2 linked regions of the Diceros bicornis minor genome follow. The protein of the gene in region 1 binds, or shares a complex with, the protein of each later gene. Links are inferred from orthologs where the notes say so. Each region holds a gene or a part of one and is shown on either strand. Other genes may lie near its edges.

Evidence for each region. Proteins that work in one complex are often made in the same cells at the same time.
Region 2: CUL7 (region 1) and CCDC8 share a complex: the UniProt entries of both Homo sapiens proteins name them as parts of the 3M complex. The link is inferred for Diceros bicornis minor from reciprocal best matches to the Homo sapiens genes CUL7 and CCDC8.

The regions. Positions count from the first base shown.
Region 1 is NC_080753.1:22,623,951-22,631,549, reverse strand, and holds the start of CUL7 (cullin-7), read right to left. Parts: upstream 3,032-7,599; 5' UTR 2,937-3,031; intron 2,092-2,936; 5' UTR 2,084-2,091; coding exon 1,504-2,083; intron 1,072-1,503; coding exon 920-1,071; intron 768-919; coding exon 273-767; intron 1-272. Other genes in the region: MRPL2 (large ribosomal subunit protein uL2m), read right to left, coding at 3,660-3,872, 4,228-4,301, 4,608-4,718, 4,795-4,910, 5,023-5,164, 5,989-6,157, 7,303-7,398. UniProt on the Homo sapiens protein: Core component of the 3M and Cul7-RING(FBXW8) complexes, which mediate the ubiquitination and subsequent proteasomal degradation of target proteins. Core component of the 3M complex, a complex required to regulate microtubule dynamics and genome integrity.
Region 2 is NC_080773.1:21,981,468-21,988,526, reverse strand, and holds CCDC8 (coiled-coil domain-containing protein 8), read left to right. Parts: upstream 1-4,015; 5' UTR 4,016-4,696; coding exon 4,697-6,193; 3' UTR 6,194-7,026; downstream 7,027-7,059. UniProt on the Homo sapiens protein: Core component of the 3M complex, a complex required to regulate microtubule dynamics and genome integrity. It is unclear how the 3M complex regulates microtubules, it could act by controlling the level of a microtubule stabilizer.

The DNA of each region.
Region 1 (7,599 bases):
AACCACCCTGTTTCCCTGACTCTGACCTTTGGGAAAGTCTTGCTGTATCAGTTTCTTCCTAGGAGAGTCTTCCTCACCTCATAGCCTCCTAAACCCAGATTTTCTCAGCCCTCCAAGTGGCCCCCCGCAACTGCCGACCCCCATTTTACCATCCCAATCTTACTGAGAGTTTTCTCCCTGGGTGGCCTGCCAGAGCCCCCTGCATGAAGCCCCAGCTATGCCCCACACAAGAGAGATCCCTAGCAGTGTCCCACCATCCTGCGCTGGCTCACCTGCACAGGGGGCACGCCGCTGTTGCTCTGACGGAACTCGCCCTCGTCCCCAGCACTGATCTCCTCGTAATCATCCAGCATCCGCACGCGCATCCCTGGCTGCAGTGTATCCCGCACGTACAGGGCATAGGTATTGCCACTTGCGAACTCAGAGCGAGGGCGAAACCGCCTCGACCTCCTGAGGGAGGCCTGGGCGGGTGGCAGCCCTGGGCCCGCATCTGCCAGCTGGGGCTGGAAGATGGAACAGGAAGACCGTGCCAAGGGCCCCTGTCTGCTTGAGGCCCAGTCCCAGCGCATGGCCTGCACCAGCTCTGAGATCAGGGTGCCCATGGCCATGCTGAACTCCAGCTCCAGCCGACCCCTCTCCCCACTCAACTCCTCGGGAGCAGAGTTGTTCTGGGCTCCTGGTTCTGCAGCACTGTCATTCAGCTTATCCAGGAGGAAGGTGACATGCAAATAGCGCTTCACCAGGGAGAAGAGCAGCCTTCCTGGGACCTGTAGGACGCAATCTTTGTCCACCTATGTGGACTATGTCCACCTTGTCCCAGCTTCAGCCCCTCTCTCCACACCGTCCTCTACGGACAGGTGCAAAGGCTTGGTCCCTAGATCTTGTTCATAGCTTCCCCACAACGCCCCCCACAGAATACCTGCGGCAGTTGAACACCCTCAAAAGACATGGGGTGTTCAGAGAGTGTGGCCTGTGCAAACAGAGCCAGCAGAGCACAGCGGCTGTCAAAATCCAGGTGTTTCTCAATGGCCTCTTGTTGGCTCAGTGATAGAAGGATCTGGGTCCGAGTCCCTGAAACCCACACCCCAATCAGTAACAGCTCCCTAACCCCACCCTTTCCAGGCATCTCTTCTAGACCCTCTACTCTCAGTCCAATCTTTTTGCCACTACACACAAGGAACGATACGATTTGCTTCAAAAGCCAAAACTTGCTATCTTTTTCACATCTACCTATCTCCTACAATAGGCTAACAGTCTAAACTCTGAACTCTTCCTTTGCATAGAAAGCCAACTAATATGAAGTTCTTGAGGACTCAGTCTTTCCTCTTTCTGCAGAGATGCCTGCACCCACCTTCCCAACTTCTGTTTTTCCAACTCTAAGAGAAGGGCAACAGAATTGTTTACGTACTGATGAAGTCAGAGGTTCCTGCACTGTGTCCTGTGAGGCCCTGAGCCGACCCAGCCCCTCTCCTGCTCCCTCTTCCCCCCAACACTGCTCCTCACCAGCATCATGGGAGGCCAGAGCTTGTATCATCCGGCCCGCGCTCCAGCGAATCTGATAATCAGGACTACTCAACATGTGCATGAGCAAGTCCAGGACCCTTGGGTCTTTGAACACCCCAGTGAGGGGCTCGATGCTGGCGTAGGCACTGAGCACGTGGACAGTGTGAAGCAGAGGAGCAGGAGGGATGGTGCCCACACACTCCTCCAGCTGCCGAAGCGCCCTCTGAATCAGAGACTTCACATCAGTTTCCATCTCCCCCAGCACAGATTTGTCCAGGGCCCCAGACTCCCCTGTGGTCTCCTGGGAGGGCCCGATGACCTGGCCGTCCTCGCCCAGCATCTTGTGGCAGTTGGCATAGATCTCGTCGTTGGACATCCATAGCAGGATGTGCTCAGCCTTGCAATCCACTTGGCTAGAGCCCCCTTCCCCATCATCTCCACGCCTGAGGATGAGCCAGCGGATCTGGTACTCAGGATGCCCATCGTGGCCCACCCGCTGGCGGATCAGCTCGTCAGGATAGGCGTGCAAGCCAGGCCCCAGGGGCACTCTGAATTCCCTGTAGCGGAGCTCCCCCACCATCTTGGCACCTGGGACACACAAGAAAAAGAGAACAGGCAAGCTAGAGTGAGAGGGGAGGTCAGAAAACCAAGGACATCCAGAAGTTGGGGAAACAAATGTGGGAACAGTTGTCAGGCTGGGTGGGGTAAAGCAGGGCCCAGGAGTTGCCTGATGCAGGCTGGGTGGAGCCAGGCCTAAGCAGAGGAACACTGTGGTGTTTGTTCTGAGAGAACACAAAATTTGGGAGCTAAAAGGAGGGTCCAAGGCCCTGCAGCCTGGAGAGGGTTGGTTTGGAGCAGTGGGAAGGGGACCGTGGGGACAGGGCAGCCTTGGAGTTACAAGTCCCAAGGCCCTGGGACAGGCTGCAGCAGCCTTGGGAAGGCGCTATGCAAAGCCCAGAGGAGGGTGTGTTTGGGGGGCGTTGGGGAGAGAGACCCTGAGTGTGTATGGGAAGAGGGGCTAGCTCTAACGGTTGAAGCACAAGAGCGTGAGTCGCAGAGACAAGAGACCCATAGTATTGGTGGTGCAGTGGGGGCGCAAGGCGCGATGGGCCGGGAGGAGGGGTCGGTGGGCTGCAAGCGCTGATGACTGGAGGCACTGGAGAGCAAGGCTGGGGGGGTGACGCGAGGACCGGAACAGGGGGCACAGCAGACACGGTGGGTGACGGGCGCGAAGCTTGGTGGCCCGGGTCGAAGGCCCGAGAAGCCAGGGGCGCGCGGCAAGGTGCGGGGGAGGGGGCTAGGCCGGATAAACGGGAATCCCGAGGTACGATGGAAGGGGGAGACGCGAGGTCCGGTGAGCGCGAGGCTCGCTGGGCGAATGGGCGGAGGATAACCCAGGGTAGGGGCAGGGGCCGCGGCGGGGCTTTGGCCACCTCAGAAGTCGATGGGGGTCCTGGCGCGAGGCCTGTCCTTCGCAGAGCTAGGGACGCGGCGCAGACGATGGCGGCGACGCTGGCAGAGATTTGGGCCCCGCCTGGGCCCCCTGAGGGGGTCGAGGCGGAGAGGTGGGAGGGGGCGTGCCGGGCAGGGGGCGTGGCGCGCAGGGCGAGCGCCCTGGGGCCGGGCCAGTGTCACCGCCCGCGCGCAGGTTCGCGGCCGCTGGGGCGGGGCGGGGCAGGGCAGGGCAGGGCAGGGCGGGGCCTGGTCCCACCAGCGGCGCCGCCCGCCCGGAGCCGCGGCTCATTTCCGCCGGGCCCAGCGGAAAGGTGGGGGCCTTGAGACAGCGCTGGGGCGGAGCCGCCGGTGCCACCGCGGCGACGCGCGGCACCTCCTCCTCTGCGCCGCCCTTTCCTCTTCCTCCTGGTCCTCCCTCCTGCCACCGGAAGTGCCTTTCCCGTTCCCAAAGTCAGAACTGAGAAAGACGCTGGAGGTCATTTATTCCCCCTCCTCCATTACATGTAAAGAACTGAGACAAGGGGGCGGCTGGAAATGAGGGGGGAGCAGCTTCAGTCTTTCCCCCACATTATCCTTTCCTTTCTCCTCCCATCTCAGTTGTTTGCTCCTGTTTTGTTCCCAGTCCAGTATGTACCATCCTCCCTCCCAAAAAAACAGTAACAGATAAAAATGGGGGGCCATTTTATTAACGTCCAGGGATATCAGCTTTGGGCAGCAGCTGAGGGCAGCTTCACGTAACTCTTCATGGGGGGCAGCGGCCGAATCTTTCGGCCAGCCCAGCCACCCTTGCGGTGCCATAGCCCGCTGTTAGGCCTCTTGCCCAGCCAGCGGTTCCGCCCAGCCTTGCCGATGACCCGTTTGTTATGATCAACGTTGGATACTCGGCCTACTGTTGCTATGCACGTATCCAGCACCTGACAGAGAAAGCAGATGGAGAAGAATGCACATAGGGGGAAAGGGCCTGACACTGTTGAGGGCCTGGATTCTTGGGAGGCTTCTTACACTCAATGAGAGAAGGGAGAGGGCAGGGGAAAAGCACAACGTACTTGAACCTGAGCGCGGGTCCTACAGTAGCTGAAAACCAAAGACACTGTATCCTATTCCACCATGGTGTTAGCCTGACAAGGTATGCCTAGTCACATGGCATAAGAGGACAGACCCAGCTCACAGCAGTTCCTAACATAAAACCCCTGGGAGCTATCCGGCACAGGAAAGGTACATTCCAAAAGCTTCTGTGCTGATCCCTCCCACCTGTACCCACACACATACCTGCATCTGCCTCTTAGAGGGCAGCTGGATGATGGCCGTCCCATTCACCTTCCGTAGCAGCACACCACATGTCCCTGGGAAAGGGAGAAGCAGCTGTGCTACCCTCCACAGTGGAGGAGGTGGGGAAGAGTTTTACAGAGGGCCATACACCACACCCCACACCACTTGCTTTGCCCTTTGGGAGCAGATACACTGAAGCAGGATGTATGTAATATGTTAGGTCAAAACACAAGCACCTCTTCATCCTCATTTGCCTTGTTTTTTCCTTCTTTTGCTCTGCCAGTGGACCAGATGTGAGCCCGTGGGTCCAGAGAATTGTGACCTCAGGTACCCTCTGGCCTTCCAAATTGTAAAACCCCAAGTAGCTTCCTTCTTTATACCTGCGGCACGGATATACTGAGCTCCCCGGCCTGGCTCACTCTCCACGTTGTTGATGAGGGTCCCTACAGGCAAGGCCCCAAGAGGATGTGCATCTCCTTCCCGAGCAGCAACTAAAAGATGGAATTTCATCAGCACCAGAACCCTTGCAGCCTCCCAGCCCACACACATCTGGCAGACATCTCTCACCTGCCATTCGGCCTATGTGGTCAGAGTTCAGGATTATATCTCCAGCCTGCATGTTTTCTGTGGCAATGATCCAGCGTTTCCGGCTGCCCCCAGCAACCAGAGCTATGTCTGCTGACCTGTTCAGGGTGAGGTTCGGGTGAGCAGACCATCTAGGCAGCCCTACATCTTCTGAAAAGCCACAGAGCAGTCATTCAGCCACGCCATCATCACCCCACATCCCAAACTTGCCTACAGGGATCATAGCGGACAGTGACAACCTTCTCCTCAAAGGGTCCTGGCTTGGTTGCCTGCTCAGGCCGGAACCGCAGAAAGTCAATCATACGATAGCGTTGCTTGTGGCCCCCGCCAATACCATGCACTTGGATTCGGCCTATGGTCAGGACAGTGTGGGGACATGACCCAGGTCAGATGAATCAGCTCCCAGCATTGGGAACAGGCCCATCCTGGGAGAGAGCAGTGCTTCCCAACATTATGACACAAGCAGAAAATTATAAAAACTTGCACAGTACAATGGGGTCAATAGGGATGGGGAAACATCTACAAGGAGCTTGGTAAAAACACAATTATATGATATTGAAATTGTATAAAACTTCCAGATAAAATCTCTACAAATTACTGATTTCAGTAAGTTTACTGAGAGCCATGTAAATAGTGCTCAATTTCAACTGTTGTTAAGTTTTTGAAGGGTGCGAAGAAAAATGTCATGGAACTCCCTGTGTATGTCCGGTTTTCTTCAAGTACCTAGATTGTCTTTAGGAGCACAGACCACTTGTCTGTTGCTTTGAATTCTACTCTCTCACTCTTACACATATAGTATATGCTGGAGTCTAATAAATGTTTTTTTGTTGTTGTTGTTGAGAAAGATTCGCTATGAGCTAACATCTGTTGCCAATCTTCCTCTTTTCGCTCGGGGAAGATTCACTAGAGCTAACATCCCTGCCAATCTTCCTCTATTTTGCATGTGGGACACCACCACAGCATGGCTGACAAGTGGTGTAGGTCCGTGCCCAGGATCCAAACCCATGAACCCGGGCCACCAAAGCGGAGCACGCTGAACCTAACCACTACACCATGGGGCCAGCCCCCTAATAAATGCTTTTTAATTACATTCCTCTGCCTGTATCTATATACAGACCTAGGATCCTACCATGTTTTCCCTCTTTACTGCTTAAATCCTATTGCCCTTGTTCCCACCTGTGTGGTCTCGGCCCCCAGACTTCCTCATCTTCACTGGTGTGATGGTGTACTTGGTACGACTCTTCCAGGAAACAAAATTGGCACTAAGGGCCACAGAGGTAAGGAGTGGGCGGCAGGGAAGCAACATCGAGGCAGTGGGCAGCTGGAGGAGGGCATTTTTTGTTACCTAGAGATTAACAAAAATCTTTTTCACTTTAAAGCTAATTGAAGGAGAAGCACCAGAGAATCAAGGGAGAGGGCACAGATTAAGTTTAGCTTGTAGCCGACTTCCTCCTGGAAGTGTTCTAGATTAGCTGTCCCAAAACTCCACTCTTTACCACTTGCACAAATAACAATGCAGAATGTTTATCCACAGGTGTGTGTATTGATTACCTCTCCTCATTTGATCTTCTCACCTCTGAAGTACTTCTTCACTGGAATGTTCTCCCCTTGGTGCACTTCCTTCCAAATTTGGCTCAAAACTCTCTCCAGGAAACTTCTCCTTTCCTAAACAACTCCCTTCTCCAGAGCTGGTAACTTCCACACATCCATGTACCACCATTAGCACCAATACCTTTTGCCCATCTGCATTATGTTTCTGTGAGTTTTTCAGATATGAATGGAGAAGGATCATTTCTTTCTTGTTCCCTGCTGTATTCCCAGCATTTCACAGAGTAGGTTGGTTTGGTTTTGAATTTTAAGTATTCATCTGCCAAACTACCATCAGCTTGAAAGGTCCAGAGGAGCAAGATTTACAACTTCTCTTTTCTGTGATTCACTAATCACCCACTGGGGACCTTGTGATATGTTCTCTTTAGGGTCCTATTCTGGTTTCTTGCCCTGCATTCTCTAATCTCAGCAATAACTCATCCTTAATGCTTATCATAATGGTTAAGAGCCCAGGCTTTAAAGCCAAACTGCCTAGGTTGGATAACTGATATGTGACCTTGGACTGCTTACCAGTTTTCTCATATGTAAAATGGGAATGATAGTAACTACCTTACAGACTGGTTGAAAGGAGTTCATTTATTTAAAACGTCTATTATTTTTGCTAAGCTTATGATAGGCACTCAACAAATATCAATTATTATTGAAACCTGTACAACGGGTGATCTGTAAAGCACTTTCACCTCCAATAGCTCGTCTGAGGAATCCAGCGGCCCTGTGAGACAGCAACACCTACAGAGGAAAGCTGAGGCTGAGAGCGACTTATCCAAGGTCACAGGCCGGCATGACTCCTGACCAGCCTCGCGTTCCCTGCCTCCCATCCCCAGTGCCCCCTCTCCGGCGGCCCGAACCGAAACAGCCTCATTTCCAGGTCAGTAGGATTACCTGGGTGGCCGAGAGCAGGCTCGGGCTGGGGACGGCGGCTGCCGGGGGCGTGAGGCTCAGAGAGCCCAGAGCGCGCGTCACTACCCGCAGGGCCATGACGATGGCCAGGCTCCGCTGGGCTCAGCACGCCACCATTACCTTTAGCCACCTGGCGCTCCTGGATGACGCTATAGGTCCCGGTGTCGTCGCTCCATCATGATGTAAAAAGAGGCAGGCAGAGAACCCGAGACCGAGTTGTAGACACACCTCCTTTCCTCCCAGCTCGTGGTCAGGGCCAATCCTCGGGCGGCTATTAGG
Region 2 (7,059 bases), on another chromosome or scaffold:
CAATTTATATCCTGTCCATTCTAGACAGGGATCTGATTTCTGGATGTTGAAGACTGAGGACAAATCTGGTGACTGTGCCAAGGTTACAAGTGTCACCTGGGAGAGAAGACTTCGGGGACTGCCCACCCACCTTGCTCCCCACTCCACCCCACCTCAGGCAACTGGGCAAATAAAGGAGGCTTCCAAGGGTGGGGTTGGAATCTAGGGAACCCGAGTGAGTCAAAGCTTGGCTCTGCCATTTCCTGGCTGTGTGACCTTCTTTGGCCTCAGTGTTTCTCATCCGGAAAATGGGAATAACACTTGCTCAGGAGGGGGTGTATGGATTAAAAGAGAAAATGCACAGGGGCAGGGGCAAAGTAGATGCTCAATAAAAGTGAATTATCATCAGTGTTATGACGTTCCAGGCTTGTGGACACACACAAAGGTGCAAGCTGTCACGGAAAAAGAAAACTGCGATGGATCTGCATGCACTGATTCAGAAAGACTTCAAGACATGCTATTCAGGGAAAAAAGCAAGTTTTCTAGCAATAGATCTAGTGCAAGCCCCTCATTCATTCATCAAATATTTTGAGCACCTACCCATGCTGTTCTAGACGCTGAGAATTCAGCGGTGAGCCAAACCAGACAAATATCTCTGCCTTGGTGGGGCTAATGCTCTAACAGGGAGAGACAATAAATAAATAAGAAAATACCAGGAAGTGATAAGTACTGTGATGAAAATAATTCAGAATGATGTGAAAAATCCCCAGGGGGTAAATTCTAAAGTTACTAAAATATACTAATGTAAGCATTTGTTTTTTCCCTGAGAGATATTTAACTGTGGCTACTTTAGCGGGAGAGGCTGGGGACTTGCCGCTGGGGGAGGGAGACGTTTTTCATTGTACACCTTTCTGTAACTTAAGCATTTTCTTCGCATATGTGTGCATCACTTTTATTATTATTATTATTGTTTAAAATGGCAACCAAGTGGAGCTGGGTAGAGAGATTAGGGCCAAGTTTTGTTTTCTTCCCTCAATCTTTTCTGATTTTTCGTTTCTTTTAAACAAATAGAAAAGCAGGAGGTGTAATTATCGTGGTTTTTTTTTCCTAGGACGGCTAGAGAAAGATCTTGCCCGCCAGCGATCTGGGAATCTCAAACACCCCCAGCGGAACTGCTCAGGGGTTGGCAATTTTTATGAGCATGTTGAACATTTGAGGTTTTCATTTCTAGGATAATCCTTCCTTCTCCCACCAAAAAAAAAAAAATCCTTTTACCAATATCTCATCTGGGAGGTCTTTCCTGCTTGGGAGGTGGTGTCTTTATTTCTCAGACCTGGATTCTTTAGCCAGAATTTCTCAAACGGGTGTCCTAGGGACTTTTAGTTTGGGGCCTCTGCGAAGCAGCTGTTCAGGGAAGCAGATTTTGGGGATCAGGCGGAAGCAAGGGATAAGAAGCCGATAAGAGGCTCTGTCCCGCCCCCGCCCTCCGCCAGCGCCCCGCAGTCTCAGAGAGGACTCGCGCCTAGCAACGCGTCTCCTCGTTGCCATGGAGACGGTTAGGAGGCGGGGCGAGAAACCGCGCATCAGGGAGGGGCCGGGTGGCGGGAGGCCCCGCGGGAGCTGAGTGCGGGGGCTGGGACGGCGCCTTGAGAAGGAGGAGGAGAAAATCCAGTGAAGCCTGACGGCCCAGCTCTGCAAAAACGAAAACAACCCGAATGAGCCGATAATTGTGCAAAGGCCTCCCTGAGGCCTTAACCGCCCCTCACCCCCCAAGCATCTCCCTTCCTTCTTTTCCTCTTTCCCTTCCCTTTCTTTTGTCTCCCATCCCTCTGTCTCTAAACATCTGCCTGGTTCCTTCAGGAGTTAAATAAAACCACACAGCGTGAGTTAAACAAAATTATACGTGTTCATTTTCATCCCTTATATTAAAGTCATCAGTGTACCTGTTTTGTTGTGGTGGTTGGAATTTTTCTTTTAACAGTTGTATTTCACTATAATTGGCATTTAAAAACTACCCTGGAAAGGGCTCATGGCACAGAAAGGGTTAAGGATTCCTGGGCTAGAGGGCCCTGGAGAGGGTGGAGGCCACTCTTTGAGTTTAGCGGGGAAAAGGGAGGCAGAATGACCTCTCTAAAAAGGTGAGATTGGAGCAGAGAGAGATTGCCAAGAGGCGATGCGGCAGAACATTTCTGCGTGGAGGGAACAGCATGTGCAAAGGCCCTGAGGTGGGGGACAAGCCTAGTGTGTTGCAGGAACAGCGAAGACGAGGCAGGTGTGGCTGGAGTGGAGTGAGCGAGGAGAGGAAGAGAGAGGGAAGTGGCGAGATCTTGTAGGGCTTCGTGGACCATGGTGAAGACTTTGGCTTTACTCTGAGTGCGATGGAGGATTTTAAAAAGAGTAGAGACAGATCTGACTTAAGTTTTTGAACGATCCCTCTAGCTGCTGGGTTGGGGATGATGTAAGATGAGAGTGAAGGGCACCTTACCCTCTATCTCTGAGGATTCATAACAACAGGACTGTTCAGCACATCGCAGGATGTCTGGTTCCAAGGAAACCCTCTGTGCAAGTTAACTGTTATTATTACTCTTACTCTTGCCTTTGTTGTTGTTGGTTTTTTTGTGGGGAGATCAGCCCTGTGCTAACATCTGCCAACATCTGCCAATCCTCCAATCCTCCTCCTCTTCCTCTTTTTTTTTTGCGGAGGATGACTGGCCCTGGGCTAACATCCGTGCCCATCTTCCTCTACTTTATATGGGACGCTGCCACAGCATGGCTTGCCAAGCAGTGCGTAGGTGCGCGCCTGGGATCCGGCCCGGGAACCCCGGGCCGCCGCATCGGAGCGGGCGCACTTAACCGCTTGCGCCACCCAGCCGGCCCCTGCCTTTGTTGTTGTGCATGTCTTTGCTGAGCTGGCTGCCTCAGAGTCACCTGGGAAGTTTTGCAAACTCTGGTCCCATGTCTTAGAGATCCTGACCTGCTATATCTGTGGCTGAGTCTGAGGGCTTTTCGTTTAATTTATGTGAATTAACATTTTTGATTGCTAAAAATCCAAGCAATGCAAAAGAATATAGAGTGGAAAGCATATGTCTCTGCCGCCTCTGGGAGTCCGCAGTCCCCTTCCCAGAAACAGCCACTGTGGGCAGTGCCTGTACATGTGACAAGCACATGTGCACACCTAGGCCCTACACACACACACACACACACACACAGACTGTTTCAGATTCAAATCCAGATTCCATCCTCCTTGGCCGTGTGACCTTGAGCAAATGATTTTATATCCTCAGCTATAAAACGGGAAGGATCAACATATTACCTGTCTCATAAGGTTAGGGGGAGGATTTCATGAGTTAATTCATAGAAAGCTCTTAGAATGGTGCCTAGGACATGGAAGTGCCCTGTAAAACATGACTAGCCTTCTTTTTCATAGCTGCGTAGTATTTCACTATCAGATTAGACCATAAAATTGAATCAGCCCCCCCCATGAACAATTAGGTTCATTCATTGGCTCAAAAATATTTATTGAGCACGAACTTGTGCCAAGCCCCACACTAGGGGCTGGTGCACTAAGACCCTGGTACCAATTTCTCCCCCCAAATGTATGGGGTAGGTACATAGGAATTGCGGGTACCAGAAGTCACGCGATTTTAAGTGGTAATATGTAGCGTGTATGGCCTTCAAAAGGACGGCCTTATTAGCACACCCACCTCCGGCGCTTGGCTGGAACCCGCACGTTTAGGGTGGCAGGTTTGGGAAAGGATGAGAAACGACGGTCTGTGTCGGGAAAGGTGCTGACGTGGGCCTCGGAGCGCGTTCCGCTTGGAAGCGGTGGCCCCAGCGAGGTCCGGGGCGCGGCCACACCCCTGTGCGGGAGGGGAGTGAGGGCGCCCCGAAGGGAGTGGACAGCCCCCCTGTCAGTCTTCCCGAGTCAGGAGTGTAAGCTGAGAAGGGGGAAGGTGGGCCTCGTTGGAGAAGGGCGAGGAGGAACTTCCTGCCCGCGCGCGCTCCTCGGCACTGAGCGCGCGGGCTGGGAGGCGGGACGCGCCTGAAGGTCAGCCTGGCCGGGGGTGGCAGCCTGTCTAGGGGCGGGAGACCCTCCTGGGGGCTGGGCTGCGGCCTCCAAGTGCTTCGGCCATATTGAATAGCCAGCCGTCTTTGTCTGCAAAGTCCTCTCCCAAGTTCCAGGCGCGTCCCTGGTGCCCGGGGCAGGAAGAGCCACGGGCAGCCCGTGCGCCCCACCACGTTGGCAGCTCGCGGTGGGCTTGGAGCTCAGGACTGACCTCACCCCGGCTCACGTAAGCGTCCTGGGAATCGATTCCCACCAGCCCTTGGGGGGAGCCAGACTTGGTCAAGACCGGACTGGCTGCAGGCAGAGAAATTGGGAAGTGTTGGTTCATCCCTGGCTGGGGAGGCGAGACTTTCCAGGCTGCTCTGCTGGGACCTCACTCCCACCCCCAAGACTAGGGGCTTCGTGTAGTTTGGGCTCGTGGCCCCCACCCCATATTTCACCCTGGAGATCTTAAAGACCCTCGAGAAGAGCCATGTGGGGGGCTGGTTCCCTTGGGGCTTCCTCCCCTCCCCCGACTGCCTGATTCTCTGGAGCGTCCCCGATGTCTGCAAAGACGTGGATTTGGACGTCCTCGTGGACGCCTTGAAGCCCGTGGGGACCTTTAAGAAGATCGGCAAGGTGTTCCGCAGGGAGGAGGACTCCACAGTGGGGATGCTCCAGATTGGGGAGGACGTGGACTATCTGCTCATCCCCCGGGAGGTCAGGCTGGCCGGGGGCGTCTGGAGGGTCATCTCCAAGCCCGCCACCAAGGAGGCGGAATTCCGGGAGCGGCTGACCCAGTTTCTGGAGGAAGAAGGCCGCACCCTCGAGGACGTGGCCCGCATCATTGAGAAGAGCACCCCGCACCCACCCCAGCCCCCCCCAAAGCCGAAGGAGCCCCGAGGGAGGAGAGTCCAGCAGATGGTGACCCCGCCCCCCAGGCTGGTCGTGGGCACCTACGACAGCAGTAACGCCAGCGACAGCGAGTTCAGTGACTTCGAGACCTCCAGGGACAAGGGTGACCAGGGCCCCAAAAGCCCGGGATGCCGCAGGAGGGTGCGCAGAATGCCCGTCAGCTACCTGGGCAGCAAATTCCTCGGGAGCGACCTGGAGAGCGAGGAGGACGAGGAGCTGGTGGAGGCCTTCCTCCGGCGAGGGGACAAGAAGCCCAGCGCCCCACCACCCCGCCGCCGCGTGGCCCTGCCCGTGCCCGTGTTCGACAACAGCCCGGAGCCCCAGCTGTCCAAGGCGGACAGGTGGCGGGAGTATGTCAGCCAGGTGTCCTGGGGGAACCTGAAGCACAGGGTGAAGTGTTGGGCGCCCAGGTCCAGCCCCGGGGTGGGCGAGGCCCAGCAGGCCTCAGCCAGGGTGGAGAGGGAGGGGGCAGCGGCGCTGGGCAGCGCCCATCACGTGGGGAGCGCGGGAGACGGGCGGGTGCCTGGGACCCCCCCAAGGCGATGGAGGCCCAAGATGAACTGGGCCTCGTTCCGGCGGCGCAGGAGAGAGGCAGCCGCATCCACAGCTCAGGTGGCGGAGGCTGCAGAGGATCAGAGGGCGGAGGCTGCAGATAATCAGAGGGCGGAGGCTGCAGCTAATCAGAGGGCGGGGGCCATAGGTGTCCAGAGAGCAGAGGCCCCAGCTGTCCAGAGGGCAGAGGTTGCAGATAATCAGAGGGCAGGGGCCCCAGCTGTCCAGAGGGCAGAGGTTGCAGATAATCAGAGGGCAGGGGGCCCAGCTGTCCAGAGGGCAGAGGTTGCAGATAATCAGAGGGCAGGGGGCCCAGCTGGCCGGAGGGCAGAGGTTGCAGATAATCAGAGGGCAGGGGCCCCAGCTGTCCAGGGAGCACAGGCTGCATCTAATGGGGCAGAGGCCATAGCTGACCAGAGGGCAGAGGCCCCAGCCATCCAGGAAGCTGAAGCCTCAGCTGCCCGGGGGGCCACGGGGGCAACCTCAGGAGCCAGGACCCGGAAACAGGTCAAGACAGTGAGGTTCCAGACCCCCGGACGCTTTTCATGGTTTCGAAAGCACCGGAGAGCCTTCTGGCACACTCCCCGATTGCCAGCCCTGCCCAAGCGAGTCCCCAGGGCAGGCGAGGCCAGGCACCTCAGGGTGCTGAGGGCCGAGGCCAGAGCAGAAGCAGAGCAGGGAGAACAAGAAGACCAGCTGTGAGGTGAGGGCGGGGGGCCGCGGGGCACCCCACCACCTGCCTCTCGCACGCTTGTCAGAGATGCTCTCTCTGCCTCCACGCTTGAAGATGGAGGTGGGGAGAGGGGCAGACAGCGCCCCTCACATCTCCACCCAACACTCCCCTTTCTTTTCTTGTTCAAGTTTTATCTTTCATGTGTTGATTTTTTAAGTACAGACTCCTGTAGTAATCCAAAGAATGTAAAGAAAGAAACCCACCCAATGGGGTTGCATCGCCCACGTTTTTAACTTCCTCAAATGCAACCCTAGGTGCTCAGCTTGGAAAAGGGACAGAGGTGGGGGAGAAATGCTCCTTGAACTTGGCACAAGCCAACTTGCAAATAAAAACATTTACAAACTGACTTCTTGACTTCGGACCTGGCCACTGAAGAAACCTCCGGGGTGCTTTGGTCACGCCCTGGTGTCGTGTCTACTCCCACTCTCCATGATGCTGACACTCTGCCAGCCATCCCCACGCCCCTGGGTTCTGCCGGCTAGGAGTCTGGGGTCTGCGGTTCACACACCTCACCCGACCCTGATTCCCAGGTACAGAAGAAGCATTCCGGAAACATGTCCAAAATGCAGATTCTGGGGCCCTTCATGCCAGAGCTGTGGATTTGCTTGAGCTGGCTGTGCAGCCCTAGAATCTCTGTTGATCACGCCCCACAAACATCTGGGGCATCTTGGCCCCTGGACATGTTGAAAATCATTGCAATGGGAACAGGCCCCCAAGGCGGGTTGTGGTGTAGCACTGTGTAGGGTCCTGTGACTGGTGCTTGCCATGGGGAGAGATCGGGTTGCTAAGGCCCCGTGGGAGCTGGGGGGCATCTCTGTATTGTCTTGCGTCCTCC